4 linked regions of the Drosophila melanogaster genome follow. The gene in region 3 interacts genetically with the main gene of each other region. Each region holds a gene or a part of one and is shown on either strand. Other genes may lie near its edges.

Region 1 (7,346 bases), about 22 Mb from region 3:
CCACTCAACTTGTTGCATCTTCACCTTCCTCCTCTGCCCAGCGTTTAAAAACATGTGAATGTGTTTTTGAACTAATTAGAGCCAAGGTCAAAGTTGATGGTCTAATCAAAATGATAGCGCGGATTTACAGGCAATTGATAAGTTTGAGTTTTCAGGGAATTCCTTTGGGAAGTGGCAATTTTTAGGTTTTGAAATATTTTTGTAAGTTGCAGTCACCATACATTTATTTAGGGGCCACTTTGGTTTGGCTTGAACCGCCCGCAAATCAAATTTGCAGCAGTCGCGTGTATTAGTCAGCAATTTGTTGCTTTTCGCTACGTCAGTGTTTTACTTTTTCTTTTTTTTTTTTACTCTCCACTGCTGGCTGTTCGATGTTCGCTGCTCGTTTCATTTGGTTCATAATTGACCCCCAGATGTGAACTCGGTGTCCGGAGATATGACTCTGTCCAACGTTCCGATAGGAGAATCGAGATCGCCATCCGAGCTGGCTGGCAAGCAATTTAGACAATTCAATTCGCCGCGCTTGATTGCCAGCATTCTATATCATCACTTGTTTTGCATACGTACATTTTCCAAATTGACTGATTCATCATCGGCTAAATGCGGTTCATGTTCGCGAGGGACAAGTTCAAATGGCAAAAAAGTGGGTTAAAACGAAAGTAGCCAGCCAAACAAAGGTGGCCAAACAGCCAAGGCGGCCGAGTTGAAAGTAAATTTCGCATACGAAATTAAAAAGTAAATATATCACAAAGAATAAAATCGATTGTTTGCTGTCAATAAGGGAACGGCCTTTGGGATTGGGAAACACGGCTGCGATAAGATCGTCAAATAAATAAGCACACAAGCCGCTCGAACTCGCTGCACGGAGAGAAAAGAAGGCATACTACTTCAAAAATGTAGCCCCAGTGCAACTGGTATGTGTGTGTGTGTGTGTTGCTCTTAGCCCACAACAAAAGCCAGCAATTAGCGTATTGGCCAACTTGCTGGCGACGGAAATAAACGCTCTTGGCGAGACAGGGGGTCTGAACTGAACTGAACTGAACTGAAAACATAGTTAATGTGGATGTGCCACACGCACACACCTGTTCGTGGGACATCTGTCGAATCGGACATGTGTATATATGTATGTAGCTTATGTTTACTCGGAATCATCGCTTTTGGCCAAAACATTGGGCCTGATTTATGGGCAACTGAAAGGCTTTTCCGTGGAAGCGAAGAATGAGCCTCTGGCAAGTTCGGCAAATCGGAAGCAGAAGCATATACATATGTACATAAGCCACCACCACATTCTACTATAGCTAACTAAATGTACATATTTCGCTTTGAATGCGGCAAAAGCGAGCGTGGTCGTCGTGTGGGCAGCCGCTCAATTAAGAGCAGCCAGCGTTTAGGATCATTTGATTTCCCAGCGGCTGTCTTCTAATTTGAGCAGCCAGCTCGCACAACACACGCCCAGCAGACAGCAGACAGCTCTCCGGATTCGGATGCGGGTTCGGGTTCTCTAGTAGTTCTCAAGATATATAAATATATATATGATATGTATATATATACATATATATGCATACATCTGCGGCGATCTCTCGATCGCGATCGTTGCCAATTTCGCTCGCCGGAGATTCTGATGCGATTCAGTCGCAAACGAACAACGAACCATCGAAGTTTAGAAAATATCTAACAATTAAAAGCGATCGCGCGCGCGCTTTTCCTCGAATCGCATCGCATCGAATCGAAACGCGAAACTCAAACAACGAAACGAAAATAAATTTGGAAAACTGCAATTGTCGTTGGGTTTTCGGTGCGCGTGCATTGCCAAAACGAATCAGGAGCAAAAAAAACGAATCAGTCGGCTATATGTACATATATACATATAGACGCAAAACAACGCACATTTCTCGGCTGCAAGCGCGTGGATCGAAATATATATGCCATACGAATATACATATATATATATATATATATGTAAATATAGCCAAACCCAGAAATAAAAGCGCAAAGGGAGGCATAACACTCGCTGTGTTGAGAGGCGTTGCCCATGGCCGAGGAATTTCTGAATACAACAAATGCAGCATTAATTGAACTAGCTCAAGGCTCCATGTCCGTGTAAATCTCTATAATTATATAATAATCGAATTTGCGGCTCACACAGTGGAGCGACTTAAACTGGACACGTGTCGCTGGATTTTGGGCCTCGCACACTTACGATAAACTGCGTCGATTATGAGCGCTTTCGCCGAGCGGAATGTGCGTTTCAATCCTTTGCGAAATCAGCAAACGCTTATCGTTAAGCGGCTGAGACCGCCGGAGAGCCAAAACTTCAAGAACTGAGCAATCGAACAACGAACATATACGAAATCTGCTCACGGCTCGCAGCTAGCAAGAAGTCAAATCAAACGAACCCTTTTTCTTTATTAGGAAAGAGCCAACGCAGAAAGCAAACGAAATACACAATACACACAAAAAAAAGAAGCTATGAAACAAAGCCAAAAACGAACGAATTTCTAAGCAACTAGAACAACACTGCGACAACAAACAGCATAGGAGCATCCAAACGAACGGAATTATAAAGACAAGAAAGGATCATCAGCACATTGTTAGGAAACTTTGGGAACAGAGTCCCAATTTGTACATATACTCTAGTTTAGCTAGTAACTAGATTCTTAGATTGTTGAATTGTTTTTGTTGATTTTGAATACAATTCGCATATATCATTGTTGTCCCAATTGTTGTGTTAGCTTAGCTAGGCTAAGAACCCCAACGAATACTAGTCAGCCGCCCAACTGTGCGTATACGCAACGCGAGTGCGTATACTTAATATTTAGGTTTAGATCGATAAGCAGCGAACAAATGATGAAAAATCTCAACGGTAGGACGCACAATGCGTGCTACCATCCCTACTACCACCAATCGCTGCATTTTGCTCAGCAGCAGCAGCAGCAGCAGCAGCATCATCTGCAGCAACAGCAGCAACATATGCAGCAGCAGCAGCAGCAACAGCAAGCGCCGCAGCAACAGTTGCGTCATCAGCAACGGCAACTGCCCACGCAGCCAGCCTACCAGCAATCGCAATCGGTTGCCCACAATGCTTTTCCACTGCGCAGCAGCAGCAACAATTATGGCCATGTTGCTAGCAGCGCCTACGCTGCCAGCAGCGGCAGTCACAACAGCAACAATGCGGCTGCCATGGCCGCCGTCTGCCAAATGCAGAATTTTTTCAACCAGCAACAGCAGCAGCAGCAGCAACTGGAGTTCAACAACAATTGCATGCCCATTAATTACTACCAGCAGCAGCAGCAGCAACATTACCCTTCCGAGTCCCAGTCCTCCGCCTCCGGCTGGAATCCCGAAACCCCTGGGCAGGCGCAACTCGCCTTGACGGCCACAACATGCAACACCACTGCAGCTGCAACATGCAACACCACTGCAGCTGCAACAACGAGCACAACTGCAACATCTGCTGCCGCTGGCAGCGACAACAACCACAGCGACAACTTTGCAATGGACGCCAGTGAGATAGCCACTTTCCTCGCCAACGAGCTTTTCCTACAGCAGGTACCACAGATCGATCGATGATGATGCCTCCGATTCTGGTCGAGATTGGGATAGATTTGGGCGCGAAACAATTGGCAAGCGGCATGCGTACTTAATCATCGCCGAAAATAGAACAAATGCGGAACAACAAAGGGGTGGGCAAATATAAACAAAGTGATGGATTGGCCGCCTCTCTTTCGGTTTCTTCATCTCTCTTCGCCTCTTTTTTTTTCGTTTTTTGTTTGGCCAAAAACACGTTCGCTAATTCGCTAGAAATGTACGGATAAGCAAGAGGTCTTACAGACTTAGCAATAGCTTTTGATGTTGACTGATATCTGAACTCGACCCAAATTACTCATGTGATAAGAATAAATTCCCAAACATCCTTAAGCTATTCGCGGGCAACACTGCGTATGCGTGATATATGTATACTGATATGGCATTGTAGAGGGTTTCGTGCTTGTCATGAGCTTTAATGAGCGTTAATAGTAATCCATCTTCTCAGATACTTGCACTCATAGATGTCTTTACTAATCATGCACCTTTTCTGCTCTTGCAGCTCGGCAACTTTGAGACCGGCCAGAGTGTTCTCACACTGACGACGCCCACGTTGACGCCGACCACCACGCGCAACATCGAGGACACACTGGGCCACTTGCTCTCGGACACGCAGACCGATCGTGTGGCTGGTTGCGCGGGATTTGCAGTGCCAAAGGTGCTACCCAATGCCATTGATGTCCTGGGCATGGGTATTCCCACCGGTGTTTCGTCGCTCCCACTTCAGCAGACATTCGATTTGAGCCTGGGGCAGGGCAGCGAGTCCGAGGACTCCAACGCTTCGTACAACGATACGCAGATGAACGAGGAGCAGGACACGACCGATACTTGTAAGTGAAGCTGGCACGAATTGCTCCGAATGTCTACTAACTCCCTTTTATTTCATACGCCTGCAGCAAGTGCCCATACGGACAGCACCTCGTACCAAGCTGGCCACATCATGGCGGGCAGCGTGAACGGCGGCGGTGTCAACAACTTCTCCAATGTCCTGGCCGCCGTGAGCTCTAGCCGCGGATCGGCGTCGGTGGGCAGCAGCAACGCGAATACCTCAAATACGCCGGCTCGTCGTGGCGGTGGCAGACGCCCCAACCGGTCGACGAACATGACCCCGGAGGAGGAGCAGAAGCGGGCCGTGCGCCGGGAGCGGAACAAACAGGCGGCGGCCCGTTGCCGCAAGAGGCGCGTGGACCAGACCAACGAGCTCACCGAGGAGGTGGAGCAGCTGGAGAAGCGGGGCGAGAGCATGCGCAAGGAGATCGAGGTGCTGACGAATAGCAAGAATCAGCTGGAGTACCTTCTGGCCACCCACCGGGCCACCTGCCAAAAGATTCGCTCCGACATGCTGAGCGTGGTCACCTGCAACGGTCTGATTGCCCCGGCCGGACTCCTGAGTGCAGGGAGCAGCGGCAGCGGCGCGAGCAGCCATCACAACCACAACAGCAACGACAGCAGCAACGGCACGATTACGGGCATGGACGCCACGCTGAACTCCACCGGGAGGAGCAATTCACCCTTGGATCTCAAGCCGGCGGCGAACATCGATAGCCTGCTGATGCACATCAAGGACGAGCCACTCGATGGCGCCATCGACTCAGGATCCAGCCTGGACCAGGACGGTCCGCCGCCCAGCAAGCGCATCACCTTGCCGCCCATGTCCACGATGCCGCACGTTCACTTGTCCACGATATTAACGCCCACCGGCGCCTCGTCGGGATCTCTGCAGACGCCGATCACGAGCACGGCGCCCGGCGGATTCGGCAGCGCCTTCCCGGTGACCTCCAACGGCAGCAGCATCAACAACATCAACAGCATCGGCAACAACATGAACTCTCCCACGCTGAATGCGCATAACAAGGTGCCTAAGGAGCGGCCCAATACGCTGGCTTTCCAGCGTCCTCTGGGCCAGATGCACCTCACCATGGCCAACAACAAGGCGGGTGGGCCCACGCAGATCCAGGGCGTGCCCATCCAGACGCCCTCGACCGGCACCTTCAACTTCGACTCCCTGATGGACGGCGGCACTGGGCTAACGCCCGTCTCCGGACCCCTCGTACCGAACAGCTCCTCCACGAACAAGCACCCGCTGGAGCTGCCCACGCCCACCGCCGAGCCGTCCAAGCTGGTCAGCTTATAACCGGACCGGATCTGGGACGGGGATGGGGGCCGAGTCAGGATTAAGTTAAGTTTTATATAGTTGGCAGGCAAACAACGGAAGGAAACCGCGAAGCACTTTTCTAGTTGTAGGAGATGTTTTCATTTTTGTAATATGCTGTAATATGCGTAAACGTGACGAATGTGTTGTTTCGTTAACTCTAATGTTTTTGTATTATTATCTTTATTATGGTTAATTTATGATTTCGCTATGTCTTTTACATACGCCGAGGAGCTATGTACATATGTTATGTACTTGTAATTTGTGCAATTTTCAAACCTCTTCATTGCGCGTTGTATATTTTCAAAAAATATAAGAACGCGAACGCGAACGCGAACGACCGACGATGCATGATGAGAATGATAAGGATAATGATGATAATAGGGCGTGTAGATTTGCAGGATGCGTTGTGATATTTATTATAAAACGAATACAAAAGATGCGAGGATGAAACAAAGTAGAAAGCAAACAGGAGCGTCTAATGAAAGGAACTAAGCCGGTTTTAAAATTGTACATTTAAACGAATCGTAAAGCGTAAATATACTATAAAACAAAACAAAGTGAATATATATTCAGCATACAAACTAAATACAATGCCTTGAGAGAGAATTAAGAAATGCAAACCTTTATATATAGAGATCTACATACATATATGTATGCATGTACATTTAAAGCTAAACAATAATGGCGTTGAAGCGAGTTTTATATTGAGCAAAAGCAAATGTGAAATGAGATAAATATACTTATTGTGTACTCTGTAAGCTGCAGTAGAAACCAAAATATATTTTTACTAAACGCAACATTGCGCTATTTTCAAATACCATTTATAAGAAATGACAAAAGCAAAGCAATTATTTAATATGTAATTATGTATTATGTATACCTATATCTACCTACCCACAACCTTAAATCAAAAAACCCAAAACGATTCAACAAAAGCTGATCAGGTAAAGCAACTCTCGCCAGTTTCCACACTAAATTCTCAGAATATTCAAAATTTTAATCTATACAAAACCAAACCGATTGATAGCAAATAAATGCACTTATAAGGGCAGAAAAACACCAAAATTTAAAAATGAAATGGAATAAAATAGAAATAAAAAGACCGACAAAACCTAAAGACGATTTGTGGAATTATTTCTGAAGTTATAGCGATTCACATGACTTGCAAATGGGCTGGCTCGTCGTCAGGTAAACATATCAGGTAGATTAGGGTGGACCAACAAAGGCTGCATTCTCAATTTCTGCAGACTTCTTCAAGCGATTTGAAGTACTTACTTATGGAAGTAAACCTCATTGAGAAAATGGCTCTAATGTGAAAATGCGATCATTCAAGTTATGAAAACATTATGAGATAGAAACACCTAGTTGCTGCCATAAAGACCAGTCTGAAGGGCAGGTAAACGCAGCCGTGTTCTTCCACTCGTCTGATAATGGCACAAACGAGTATATATGTACATACAACACACGCTGCATATATTCATTTTCGGGTTTGCCTTATTTTGCATTTTTTTTTGTTTTTTTTGGGATCTGTTGCTTTCGGTGCAGCCACGAATCGCGGATCTCTGTTTCAGTTACTCGAGAAGCGGCGATATGAGCGGCAGTCAAC
Region 2 (4,531 bases), on a different chromosome or scaffold from region 3:
TCCAAGCGATTAACTGGCCAGGTGGGACTGCTTTTCACGGACAAATCCAAGGAGGAAGTCCTGGAGTGGGCAGAAAACTACTGGGCCGTGGAATACGCACGCAGTGGCTTTGTGGCCACGGAAACGGTTACCCTGCCAGCAGGTCCCCTAGAGGACTTCGCCCACTCTATGGAACCGCATCTGCGTTCCCTGGGCCTGCCCACCAAATTGGAGAAGGGAATCGTTACGCTGTACAGTGACTACACGGTTTGTGAGGAGGGCAAAGTTCTAACACCCGAACAGGCGAGAATCCTCAAGCTGGTGGGCAAGCCCATGGCCAAATTTCGGCTGACCATGAAGTGCTCGTGGACAAAAAGCGAAGGCTTCCAGCTGCATGTCGAGGATGATGTGAACGACGAGGAACAGGCTGATAGCGCAATGGAAGAGGAGGCCGAGGCCGAGGCCATGGATGACAACGACGACGATGATGACGAAGAGGAGGATGATGAATAAATAAGTTTAAGGCGTAGAAATAATTTTTTTATGTATATATCAAGTGCAGAAAATATACGTATATTTTAAAAGTACATTACATATTATCTTACGTTCAACACAGATAATACTTGATTAACACTAGCTTATACTAATAACTAAGTAAACAAAACACTTAAGAAGCATTTCAGATATTGCAGCTAAAACCAAAGAAAGGCACAAAGCCTCAGGTTGCGTCGTCCGCGAGGATGTAGAGCACCAGAGGCTGTTCGTTATCGCTCTCCTCCTCCAGGAGTTCGCTGTTAGTTAGGGAAATATCCTGAGAGGCCGAGCCCTCCAGCTCCAAGGCACCGGTGCTAGCACTTGAAAAGAATTCCAGAGGCATGGGTTGCTCGGGATCTTCAGGATTCGAGGGGGTTTCAGTCTCCAGTGCCACGTCCTCCTCATCATTCTCCCCGGCTGACAACTCCAAATGTTATTGGTCTGTCGAGTTCGGCGGCACCGTGCAGCCCGCGGCAATGTGCTCCATCACCTGCTGCTTCAGCTGCGCCACATGGTCCTTGAGGTTCTTCACGATGCTAGCCAGGTCGACGTTCTCGCCCTTAAGTACCTTCACGCGATCCTCCAGCTTTGAGATGCGCTCCAACTTGCGCTTGCGGCACTTGGATGCAGCCACACGGTTACGCTGCCTCTTGCGCTCCAGCTTGATCTTCTCCTGCGCTTCCATGTCAATGGGATTAACGGTGGGCGAGCTGGCTTGATTGACGGGCTCGTCCTTAATCACCGAGAAGCCCTCGGTCATGTTGGTGTAGGTGAAGGTGCCTCCGCTGATGCCATTGTTCACCGCTGTCATGGCTGCCGCAGTTGTGTTATTGGCGGCGGAATTAGCGGCGGAATTGGCGGACGGAAATGCCTGGGAGTTAGTGTGAAGATTGTGTAAGGCCTCCTCGAATCCCCTGCCGAAGTCCAACTGCTCCACGGTGACGGGCCCCGCCTTGGTGGGGAACACCTTTCCCGGCTGCGGTGTTTGCATCAGATTGTTGGATAGCAGGATCTTCTCCAAATCGGGTGTGTTTACCGTCTTGGATGACAGATCCGGTGAGTTGATGACCAGTGGTGCGAAGATGCGCTTGTTCTTGGCACTCTTGCTGTTCAGATCCAGCGAGCCGGGACGCTTGTTAGGATTCGGGGTGGATGTGTTCAGGTTCGGCGACTGAAAGTCCAGTGACATGGGGCCTTCTTCTCCAACGGGCTCGGTTTTAGGTATGATCTGAATGGCAGTTGCTCCGGAACTGCCAGCATTCTGAATACTTAAGTTCGCAGCAGCGGAAACGGGGGTTTTCATGTTTGCTCAAGCAATGACGTCAATCTGATTCGGATGAAGTGAAAGAGACGAAAACGGAATGAAAACAATCTGATAAAAACTCGTTTCGCGATGAGTCATGCGAATAACTCGCTCTTCTTCTTACTCACCAGTGGGTGGGAACTTTGCTTGCAAAATTTGATTAGCACAATCTGTACTTTTGTGTTTTCTGCTTTCTGCACTGCCACTGCTTAATCACCGGTTTTATCGGCCAACGAATCGTTTGATTTTTATTTTGGTTTCGCTAAATAATTTTACGAAAATATTTATTACGCGCAAGGTTGTTTTCAGAATGAGTGCTAGCGGTGGTACAAGTGTCGATTATTTATTCGATATTGCTATCGATACTGGTCTTTAAATGCGATGTTTAAACAATGGGCAGCATTGACTCAAGCAAGAAGCTTAGCAGTGACACAAACCATTACCGGTAGCTAAGTTAATAAAATACAATATAGGTTTTTTTTAACATTTACTAAATCATTATGAAAGGTGAATGGAAACAAGGCCGTCGCTAGTCTTTCATGTTTTTCTTGAAATTTTCTTGATGTTTGGCAGTAAAAGAAGATGCAATAGATCTCTTTATCACTCCTGGGCGTCGGTAAATAGGAAAGGAAATATATTTTTCGGTCTGGTTAAGATATTGTTTTCGCACTTGGGGAACCACAAACTGTCCAGACGGATCCATTATGTCAGGAACTCCAGGAAAACACTGATGCTCATGATTTTGTGATTTTGCGAGTTACAATTGAAAAGGGGAAACAAAATATGACACTTAACTCGGAACATTCGCAAATAATTTGAAAACATCCGAGAAAAAAGGCCATACGTTTTTGGGATATTCCCGATATATTTATATTCGACATTTATGATAACTGTATAGCAATAAATATTTTCAAATATGGGTTTTTGTTCTGTTTTGTTTTGTTTTTCAAACTGTAGCATATACATCAAGTTTAAATATATATATTTGTTCGTTTATGTAAATACATTAATAATATTTTGATTTCGCAACCAAACGTCTTGCTGTTGTTCAGATTGGTATATATGCTGGCCCTAAAAGATTTACACATTTATTAAACTCCTTGTATATATTAATAATCACATCTATAGATTTGTTAGAGCTTCAAATATTTGTCTTAGTTATGTCCATTTATTGTAAGCACGTTGAAACACATTAATGTATATGTTCATCTGTAGACAAGTAATGCGGAGAGAGAAGTCTCAGATACTATAGTTAGTTGCTCTGCATTTGGCGTTCGCAAAGATACATAGTTTTTTTCCCGGTGTAGGCTAAAATCGTTATATATGTATAATGTGTATAGTGTATTATGGTATGGCACACGCACGTATGTATGTGCACACATCCAAGTCAAACCGAATAGAAGAATTCTGACGGTGACTTTGGAGGACTAGCTGCCAATGTGAGCTCTGCCTTTCATTTTGCTTAGAATGTCAAGCGAGTTGAGTTACTTAAAAAGCTGGCTGTGGATTAAATACTTGTATGTCTTGGTTAAGCATATGTATGTGTGTTATGTTTCGTCTATGATCACGTTTGTACACTTAAACACCCATAAAACGTGCAAATATGTTTCGAAAAATTCCATTTTACGCTGAACACTTAAACCAAATAAATCGGGCCGCATCGGGCGTCTACTGCGATTAACTGAATCCAAATTGTATGTATATCTATATGCATCTCTTTAGGTATCTGGTAAACTCTAGTTGGCTGCTGCCGCCTCGCGAGGCGGTCAGGAAAATCCATCAAAATATTATGTCATTGTATGCGACGACTATTTGGTTTTGAATCAATCGTTTGTTTGATTTTTGCCAGTTCAGCAAGGTTTTTATATTGGTTTTTTGGGCTCATATTGTTATCTTCTCTCTCTCTCTCTCTCTGCTTTGCATTGCGGGGTTGTCATTTTCATTTTCGATTTATGATTTTCTTTTTAAACGCACACAAAAGAGACGTTAGGAAAACACTGGGCGGCAATTCGGAGCAGTTCGCTTAAAGCCCAATCTCCCGCATGGCCCTGTACAAGCAGGGATTCTTCAAGCACTCCCTAGGACCCAGCTGCCGGCCGTGTGATCCCCGCAGGATCATCAGGATGGAACGGGCCGCCGACTGGCAGTCGTTGCTGTCGCCGCAAACGCTATCCGCCTCCGCCAAGTACTGATAGTCGCAGGCTACCTGTGAGGCACCCTGGAAACGGAAATGCAATGGGTAAACTATAGTTAACCATACTCGACTCAGGCATCCTGTTTTCACTTACACATAGATAGCATATCTGGTGAACACCGCAGAGGGGCAGGAGCTCCTGGTTAATGTCTCCGGAGATGAGATCGACGCCCCGACAGCGCTCCGCCATGGACTCGATAATGGGGCACTGGTTGGAGCCCACAATGTAGTTCTTGTTGCCCAGATAGGCGTCGTTTAGGGTCTCGTAGGGAGCGCTGCCCAGGCTGAGTGCCTCCTCCATGGTATTTGGCTGCTCCGGATAGCGCAAGTAACCACTGCGCTTCCTCTTTTCCATGTCCTTGGGTGGTCTCGAGTCTCTGGAGGATTTGAGAAATAAACACATCGAAATAATGTAAATTTAAGGGCATTTTCATTTACTCTGCCAGTTGATCTGCCTGCTCCTTCTTCACCGACTTTTTGTTCAACCAGTAATTGGAGTCCAACGCGTTCTCCTCGGATTC
Region 3 (4,755 bases):
CCGGCGTCCGTCCGCCGCCGTTCATTGCCGTTGATGATGACGTCGTCGATGTCACTTCGTCACATGCCAGATTCTCCCTGGACCGCTTGTTGGGATAGTCCTTCTGATTGGCTGCCGAGGGAAGGAGACGAAGACCAGAAAATACGCATTAATGCGGTGATTTAAAAACTGATTTTAATTGGCGGTTAGCGATTTGCTTAATTTTATAACCCATGATGTCAGCACGGACCGTGTATGGACCGCAGTGCGAAAAACTTGTCGCGCCAGGTTCCCCGTTCAAAAAAACCGCAAAAATATTTCGTTTCGATTGCCGCCTGCCAAAACTGACGTAAGACATTTATTTCGGCTCTAGAGTTTTTTTTTCTTCTTTTTCGCCTGATTACGAGCGAATGCAAAGCCAAAGTTTTCCACATTCGCTCGCAGCTCACAAGTCGCTTATCACAGTGAGCAGGCATAATTAGAGAACGCTTTGTAAGCTAGCCCGATACCAATTTGATAGTATATTATAGTAAAACACAATCCAGATTATTCATTTATAGGTAAGTCTGAACAAAAGCTGTCAATAACAAATAGTTGAAAACTTTTTTAGTACGGCAATCTTGGGTTTTTAATGCTGGTATATTTATGTTCTTAGCATCATTCTGATTTCTTCGAATATTATTAAAATTAATCTTGTAGTAAATATTTGTTTTTAAAAACTTCAAGTACGATTTTCCCCCTACACTAAACTTTAATTTTAAGCCATGTTCCTTGATTGAAGGGTATCATTTCAGCCGTCCGTCAAAAGAAAAAACTTGATAAGATAACCAATGCTACAGTTTGTATTATGTTTTCAAAGTGGTCTTAGGAGTTCGGACTGTGCTGACTTGATCAAATCGACTTTATCAGCCTTGCCAGAAAGTATAGTCTCTTTTATGCTGAAAAGCAAAACAACTTCGAGCAAACTACTGGGGTACAAAATTGCTGTTATCAGCCAAGCGACCTCAAAAGCCAAAAAACAACACAGAAAAAAGCAACAGCCTCAAAAAAAGTACAACCAACTTTTCACCGCGGCAGGAAACGTTGGTTATGTTTTTTTTTTGTCGCTGTTGTTGTTGTTTGCGGCTAGTAAAACAAGTAAAATCGCATGCCAATAGTGCATTGCAAACCTCCAGGGGCGTCTGGGTCTGGAGTGTGTGGGTTTCGAAGGGGGCCTATGGTGTGGGAAACGGGGGGAGTGGTGTGAAGTAGAGTAGAAAATAGGAAAGTGCTAATTAGTATACAGTGGCTTGTTTACTTTTGGAAATGAGCTATGCATCAGCTTTCTGTTCACTATTTTGTCCAACTTTTGGGTTGCGATTCGCCATTATGTTTACTGTTATTAGTAATTCGCTGTTTATTGTCTAAAAAAAACTTGGCAACAAGGTAGTAAATCTTTCACTTTAAGATGATATTAATTTTAAGTGATTTATAAAGCGATTGTAATGCTTCAACTTATATTATATTTAATAAATTTCAACTATTCTGTAAATGTTTTGGAACTTTGACTCAACGAGGGCACCCCTTTTTAGTTTCGCCCCTGGCCCTTGCAACTAACCCTTCCTGCTCTTCCGCTCTTTCTTACCGACTCCCAACTTCAGTTTTGAGTTGTTGCCGCGGCTGTTGCTTTTTCTCCTTCTGCTCCCCTTTTGGCCTCCTCCTTCGCACGCTTCTCCCTTCTTCTGTTGTTGTTGTGCCGATGAATTCGTACTCGAAAGGTCGTTTCAAAGCGGGTTTTTCAGCGTTGCCAGGCCGCTTGAGAAACCTGCTTTGCTTTACATTTTTTCTGTTGTTTTATTTTTTTTATTTGTACTCGTATTTTGTTGGACTGACTGATTTTTTTTTTCATTTATCCAGCCAACAGAAACGAATCGAAACGCTTCTTTTGCTTTTATTTTTGAAAGACACGCGAATTGTGAGTCACGTATGGAGCGAAAAAAAGTAACTGACTCTGAGTCTGATCTCTCTCGAGTTCGTTTCTTTTTGCTTGTTTTTGCTTTTGTAGAAATGAAATGGAGACGCTTACGTGTGCTCCCCCTCTCTTTCGCGCCCCAGCAAAAGTAAACAGCATGCCGAGCGGTAAAAATCAAGAGAGCAAGAGAGAGGGATTAATACGTTCTCCCTGTCCCGCTCTTTTGATTGGTTTGAGTGTAATCTTAAATTGTACGATTTTTCTTATTGCTTATTTCTGTTGATTTGATTCTTTTTTTCGCTTCTTTTTGTACTTACCACCAATGCGATTGTTGTTGTTGGTATTTTGGATTGGCATAAATAACAGAAGACACGGCGCTTCTCGCTTTATCCGCATTTTCATTTCACTTTGTATATGACTCACGCTGTCGCCGTCTCCGTCGCACTCACAGCGTCCGTTGTGGCTGTTGTTGTTGCGTGCTGTTGACGTTGCCGTTGTAGTGTTGTTGCTATTATTGTTGCTGCTGCTCTGCGTTTCTCGATTCACACACATATGCACGCGCTCACACTACACACATACACATGGGGGCCTTTGGTTGTTTTAAAATTGATATATGTATATTTTATTTGTTGCTTTCTGCCCGTATAATAATCTATATTATTTAAGTATGATTTTCGGTAGGAGGGCTTTATTAGATAATCCCCGAGCCACTTGTTGAGCCACTTCCCGTTATAAAGTGTGTTGCAACCAAAAGTCGGGGGCCCAGAAATCGAGTTTTATTTCCACTTGTAGCACGCACACTTATTTTTAATTCATTAATCGAAAAACGCGCGGGTTGTAGATCTCGTTTTTATATTTTATTTTAGTATTAATTGTTTGCTTCCTCTTCTCACGATTCGTGTTAAAATTATTGTATCCAATGATAAATGTTTTTACCAGAAATATTCTAGTTTTAATTTCCTACTGTTTTCGCGCGGAGCTTAGTTATTTTTCGAACTCGTTGTGCAAAGATGTAGACACAACCGTTCGAAGCGGTATTCAAAAGGCGAATGAATGACCGAATGAATGAGCGCAAGACGAATGAACGGGCGCAAAACAAATTTGATAACCGAATTTGATAAAGACGCGATTAGTGTGACCAGAGGCTACTACAGTTAAAAAAGGCTAACAAGCTGAAACTTTACTCTACGCTCACCAAATTCACCAACACTGAAGACTTTGCGGTTGAATTTGAAATTAAAGTATATATAATAGCCACAATTGTTGACAAATGAAGTTAAAATAAGCTATTACATACTTTGACCTATGATCATAATACAATTTTTATTTATTTATTTTTTATTTATTACACGTTAAAGGTTAATTATTTTCGAAACATGCTGACATTTGACTTTGTATAATTGCTTTTGACATGCTGTATATATACTAATTTTCTTTTATCTCGGGCTCAAACCTTTTGTTAGTTTATATTGATGAATTCCATTTATTCATTATAATTTTTATGAATATAGCAATGCTCGTTATAAACCTCTTTAAATTCTTCGTTGTCAAAACATTTTATTTGTCACTACAGAGATGCGCTCATGTCTACCCAAGTGCCTCAGCAAACCAATCCCAACCAAACCCGTCAAACCCCACCTGAATCTCCGCAACCCAGTAACATGGAACAAATGTTTGCTCGCTTCGAAGGAATGGTCGAAAGGATGATGGAGAAGATGTTCTCGCAAATGACGCAGCTTGTTGCTTCCATCCTCAACGCAAAAGTATGCAAAGCCTAAAAATAGTTATTTGGAATGCTAACGGCCTGCAGAGGAGCAGAGCCGAGGTGGAACACCTCCTAAAAACAGATGCCATCGATGTACTACTGGTATCAGAAACCCACTTTTGTCCCAGATCCCATTTTAGCATTAGCGGCTACGATGTCATCCCTGCCAACCATCCATCTGGCAGAGCGCGCGGAGGAGCAGCCATGCTCATCAGGAGTGGCATCCAGTACACGGAGCTACCTGCGTTTCAGGAGGAATGGGCCCAGTGTGCCCTGGCCAGAATCTCCAGCCTACATGGAGACATCACCGTTGGAGCGGTCTACTTCCCACCTAGACACTCGATCACCGAGACTCACCTACAAGATTTTTTTGAGTCCTTTGGACCTCGCTTTATAGCAGCTGGTGACTTCAACGCCAAACACTCCTGGTGGGGGTCCCGCTCCATCAACCCCAAAGGCAGAACGCTCCACAGATTCCTGCAGAGCAGAAGACTGGATTGCCACTCCTCTGGTGAGCCTACCCACTGGCCTTCAAACCCTTCCTTGCTGCCCGACCTCCTGGATTTTGCTATCTCCAAAGGCATAGGGCAAGACAGACTAACTTGCTCCAACTATAACAAGCTGATATCCGACCACAGCGCTATAAAAATGCTTCTCAACATCCCCGTCCTCAAAAAAGAGTTGCCCAGAAGACTCACCGGGAAGCACACTGATGCCTCCAAGTTCACACTCTGGATGCTGTCCTCCCTGCACCCGGATCCTCCACTCTCCACTCCAAGCAACATCGATGCGGCAATCAAAACTCTCACGGATGAGATGTACAATGCTGCTGAGTTTGCCAATCCTCCTCCTTCAACGTCCCCAAGAACTCCCGGTAGAGACCTTCACCTCTGGTCTCCAGAAATTGCGGCCTTCGTAGCGGAAAAAAGGCGCCTCAGGAGAATCTGGTTCTTCTCGCGCAACCCAAGGGACAAGGCAGCACTCAACAGAGCCATCAAGGAACTCAAGGACAAGCTGTGTACCCTACGGCAAGACTCCTTCGACAGATTCCTTGAGGAGC
Region 4 (4,637 bases), on a different chromosome or scaffold from region 3:
CCTGAGTAAGAAAAGGTTAGGCTCGCTACATTTGTATATAATATTTGGGCTTCTTACTTAAAGACAATGGTGGCTGGGAGACCTGGTTCCAGAACTCGACCCATATACCGACGTCTAGATTGTACAAGAAAATGGAGTTTGTCGGGTCCGTAGATGAGGGCATTGGCAACGTTACCCAGAGCTTCTTTTGGAACTATGCCTTTCTTGGCTCAAAGGCTCAGCTCGAATACCTGGTGCAGTCAAATTTTTCAGATGAGTAAGATCGATCCTTTATTTTTAATCTTCCCACCGTAAACGATATCCTCTTTTAGAAATATTTCCCGCCGATCGGCGCTTCATTTGAGTGAAGAGTGTTTTGCTCTTTTCCAAATAGGATTTCTGTTTCCCCGAGAGTCAGTGTATAAAATCAAAATCGACTCGATGATATTACTTGCCCAGCAAAGTGGTCTTATTGCAAAAATCAATAACGAGGTAAGCTGGGTCATGCAGCGATCATCTTCAGGACGCCTGCTCCAGGCAAGTTCTTCGAATTCCTTACGCGAAATAATTCAGGAAGAGCGCCAATTGACTACAGCGGACACAGAAGGAATGTTCCTGCTCATGGCACTGGGCTACTTTCTAGGAGCCACAGCCCTGGTATCCGAGATCGTCGGTGGGATTACCAACAAGTGCCGCCAAATAATCAAGCGCTCCCGCAAGTCGGCCGCCTCCTCTTGGTCGTCGGCGTCAAGTGGGTCAATGCTTCGCACTAATGCCGAGCAACTTTCCCATGATAAGCGAAAGGCCAATAGACGCGAGGCTGCTGAGGTTGCTCAAAAAATGAGTTTTGGAATGCGCGAGTTAAATCTTACCCGCGCAACGCTTCGGGAAATATACGGAAGCTACGGGGCACCTGAAACAGATCATGGTCAGCTAGACATCGTCCACACTGAGTTTCCAAACAGTTCTGCAAAATTAAATAATATTGAAGACGAAGAATCTCGGGAAGCTCTTGAATCTCTGCAGCGTTTAGACGAATTTATGGACCAGATGGATAACGACGGCAATCCTTCCTCACATACATTCCGTATTGACAATTAATCACAGAAATTTTTAAATGCAAATACAAAATAATCACTTTAGTGCACATGAAATTATATGTATTGAAATAAAAAGTTTGATGCAACAACAAATTTTACAGTTGTTTGGTATTTTGTATGGGAAAGTTTGTGGCAATATATGGTTTTACTTGAAAGCGGATTGGACATGGTCACACTGCCCACAAATCACAACATTGCGTTATAAATGAAGCACATCTAGTTTTGTGTTAAGAAAGTGGTTCACAATTTATATAGCAGGTTATGGTAAAACATCGATCGTTCCGAAAAATTCCGCTCGTTGGCACATTTTCTAAATTTTTCGTGCGACAGCGGTGATTATTATATGATATTATTATGATTATATATACAAAAATTATTATAATTATATAAAAGTTGGCGACCATATCAAAAAGGTTGCTATAAAAACAAATGGCAATTTATAGCGGAGTTTCACTCCCAAAGCGATGTTCTCCACCCATTCCAGTCAGTCATGGTAAATATACCTTCTAAAAAATATATGATTTTTTCGATAGAGATACACGGGCACACTAGACCCACCGATCGCGACTTTGTGTGTGTTAAAATGACGCGCATATCGTTTTGGGCTAATAATATTGTTCACGTTTTATAAAACAGATACACGGTTAAGCTCTGACCGGTCGTATTATTATCTGTGTGTTCTTGGTTGACACGTTTATTTCATTTATTCTCATTTAAAGCAACGATGTGAAGAACAGTGCGGGCGTTTCTCAACATAAGAATACATACAAACTTATGCGTGATGGTGAGCAAATAAAATAGTTCAAAAAATTACTCGGCCACCGCCTTAACCGTACAAACGGAAATACATAAAGGTAAAGGGCTCAACAACAGTATTACTGATTAGGCAATTGATTTATATTTCAAACTTCTTAAATAAAGTGTCCACAAATATGTATGTTCTTAGCATAGAGGCGTAGTCGGTGAGTCAGCCACGCCAACAGTTAACAGTCGTCATTTTGCTGTCTGTCTAACACGCAATTTGTGTGTGTATATGTGAATAAACAGATACCGGTATGCAATCGCAAAGCTGGTCAACTGTAAAGATCGGTATGTACTCAAAATTAGGTCATCACCTTGTTATGCAGATACATTTGGGAAACAGTTGACTTACTTGGTATTGGTTATCAGCCGAAAAGCAAATGGTGATACGGTTTTGCACCTCAGCTTACTCACGGATACATACCTACGTACATAAATGTATGTATACGGTATACAGTCTTAGAAAAAATATTAGTACCGACCAGCTAGCGTTTGCCTAAAACGCTTTTACAAAAATAAACGTATATGTTTTAAGTTGTTTTTTGTCCTAATTAATACATTTATTATTATTTATTTATGAATTTTAGAGCTTTAATAGTAACTAAATTGTTTAAACAAACTTTAAAAAAGATTTACAAATAAAAAAATATTTCGTGTGCGTGACGGAATTGCTAGTTCATTAAAGGGAGGTACATATGTACATACATACACATTGCAAAGAGTACAGATCGCTCATCATTTCATTTTTCCTAATGTACATATACATATGTACAAACATGTTTATTAAACTGCCTACATGCAAATCTTTGAAGTTTTAAGAAAATAAGCACAACTAGTTTGGAAAATCTTGGGAGCCAAGATCTATCTGTCCACTGATTTTCCTATGACTTCAAGAATGTAAAACCCTTTTTGTTAAACAAATTTTGATTAAAGTATACCAGAATAATATTAAACGTATCGTCCGTATCTATAAAAGGTATTAATAGTATTACCTAAATTTAAATTCTCGGTTTTATTCATAAGAGTGAAAAAATATACAAGTTCCTTTTTAATTTTTTACTTATTGAAAATTTGATTAATTTTTATTATTATTTTCAGTTTAGAATAAATTCGGCCACAATTAATATACTTATTTATTCATCAAAACCAAACCACCACAAGAGCATAACCAATCATGTTAAAGTTTATCAGAGGAAAAGGGCAGCAGCCCAGTGCTGACAGACAACGCTACATCGTAAGGTAAAACAAACAATTTTCTCTTTCCGTTCTATTTTTTTTTTTTTAAGTATTTGTAGCCGATTGGTATATTTTGTGGGGTCATTTATTTTGATCTTGGGTGGTAAATACATTTTTATGGAAGTTAGAAGAAAGCTTATAATTTATGAGGAATAAATAAATACCTCCTTTTGAATCTTTTGTTATGTCTTCTCCTATGTGCATACTTTTGGGCATTAACATTTAGGTAAATTTTTTCCACCGCAACTACAAGTAAACCGCATACACACACAGTATTTTGTAGACTCGCGCCACAAAGCACCGCATAAAAAAGGTTACGGTGCTTTTTTGCTCGTTTCTTTTGTGCACTCCTTCTATGCGGTGCCAAATATGAGGAGGTACCTGAAGCTTGGTTGATTTTGTGAGTGTCTTTTTCCACAGCATATTTTTGTGTATTGGCTACTTTAAAAATTCTATTATATCGTTGTGCTCGTAATGTTGTCCATTCCTTTTAAATATTTTCGAATTAAATATACCATAGATGTTTCCCTATTACCATAATAGTTTAATAAATATACGTATATGAAATTTTTTTTATCCTATGTTAGTATAAACATGTTATTCAACAAATAAAAGTAGGTCAGAGGTAATCGCCATCCAGCTCCAGAAAGAGGGGGGAGCTGATAAGATTGCGTTTATGTACCTAATGGGTTGGGTAAGTGGCTTGGTTTCACAAACACCCTTATTTCAGGTACAAAATAAGTATGTCATAGACGGCGTAAAATTGATAAGATTTTAAAGTCAAAAGAAAATGAGTTTATTCGCCTGTAACTGCGTTAGAAATCCAAATACACCCGCAATATTATATGTATAGAAAGAAAAAGTTTGATGCAACAACAAATTTAAAGTTGTTTGGTATTTTGTAATGGAAAGTTTGTGTCACTAAATATGGTTTTACTTGAACGCAGATTGGACATGGTCACACTGCCCACAAAATCACGACATTGCGTTATAAATGAAGCACATCTAGTTTTGTGTTGAAAATGTGGTTCACAATTTATATAGCAGGTTATGGTAAAACATCGATCGTTCCGAAAAATTCCGCTCGTTGGCACATTTCCTAAATTTTTCGTGCGACAGCGGTGATTAATTACAAAAATTATTATTATAATTATATAAAAGTTGGCGACCATATCAAAAAGGTTGCTATAAAAACAAATGACAATTTATAGCGGAGTTTCACTCCCAAAGCGATGTTCTCCACCCATTCCAGTCAGTCATGGAAAATATACCTTCTAAAAAATATATGATTTTTTCGATAGAGATACACGGGCACACTAGACCCACCGATCGCGACTTTGTGTGTGTTAAAATGACGCGCATATCGTTTTGGGCTAATAATATTGTTCACGTTTTATAAAACAGATACACGGTTAAGCTCTGACCGGTCGTATTATTATCTGTGTGTTCTTGGTTGACACGTTTATTTCATTTATTCTCATTTAAAGCAACGATGTGAAGAACAGTGCGGGCGTTTCTCAA

The links.
Region 1: of puc (region 3) and kay, changing one suppresses a phenotype caused by changing the other (phenotypic suppression), as found in Drosophila melanogaster (3 studies listed by BioGRID).
Region 2: of puc (region 3) and Jra, changing one suppresses a phenotype caused by changing the other (phenotypic suppression), as found in Drosophila melanogaster (2 studies listed by BioGRID).
Region 4: of puc (region 3) and l(2)gl, changing one suppresses a phenotype caused by changing the other (phenotypic suppression), as found in Drosophila melanogaster (2 studies listed by BioGRID).

The regions. Positions count from the first base shown.
Region 1 is NT_033777.3:29,787,306-29,794,651, forward strand, and holds kay (kayak), read left to right. Parts: upstream 1-1,630; 5' UTR 1,631-2,847; coding exon 2,848-3,549; intron 3,550-4,087; coding exon 4,088-4,415; intron 4,416-4,481; coding exon 4,482-5,719; 3' UTR 5,720-6,808; downstream 6,809-7,346. Other genes in the region: sro (shroud), read left to right, coding at 7,331-7,346. UniProt on the Drosophila melanogaster protein: Developmentally regulated transcription factor AP-1 binds and recognizes the enhancer DNA sequence: 5'-TGA[CG]TCA-3'. May play a role in the function or determination of a particular subset of cells in the developing embryo.
Region 2 is NT_033778.4:10,094,552-10,099,082, reverse strand, and holds Jra (Jun-related antigen), read right to left. Parts: upstream 2,604-4,531; 5' UTR 2,487-2,603; intron 2,156-2,486; exon of another isoform or gene 2,079-2,155; 5' UTR 1,945-2,078; intron 1,841-1,944; 5' UTR 1,817-1,840; coding exon 947-1,816; coding exon of another isoform or gene 698-946; 3' UTR 527-697; downstream 1-526. Other genes in the region: RpLP0-like (ribosomal protein LP0-like), read left to right, coding at 1-492; CG2269 (uncharacterized protein), read right to left, coding at 3,840-4,034, 4,105-4,387, 4,449-4,531.
Region 3 is NT_033777.3:8,103,588-8,108,342, reverse strand, and holds the start of puc (puckered), read right to left. Parts: upstream 3,012-4,755; 5' UTR 2,483-3,011; coding exon 2,248-2,482; intron 1,856-2,247; exon of another isoform or gene 1,604-1,855; intron 112-1,603; coding exon 1-111.
Region 4 is NT_033779.5:18,362-22,998, reverse strand, and holds the start of l(2)gl (lethal (2) giant larvae), read left to right. Parts: upstream 1-1,622; 5' UTR 1,623-1,933; intron 1,934-2,025; 5' UTR 2,026-2,168; intron 2,169-2,978; exon of another isoform or gene 2,979-2,983; 5' UTR 2,984-3,054; coding exon of another isoform or gene 3,055-3,114; 5' UTR 3,115-3,119; intron 3,120-4,428; exon of another isoform or gene 4,429-4,637. Other genes in the region: Ir21a (ionotropic receptor 21a), read left to right, coding at 1-5, 64-256, 312-1,080. UniProt on the Drosophila melanogaster protein: Essential for the development of polarized epithelia, for cell polarity associated with asymmetric cell division of neuroblasts during development, and for oocyte polarity formation.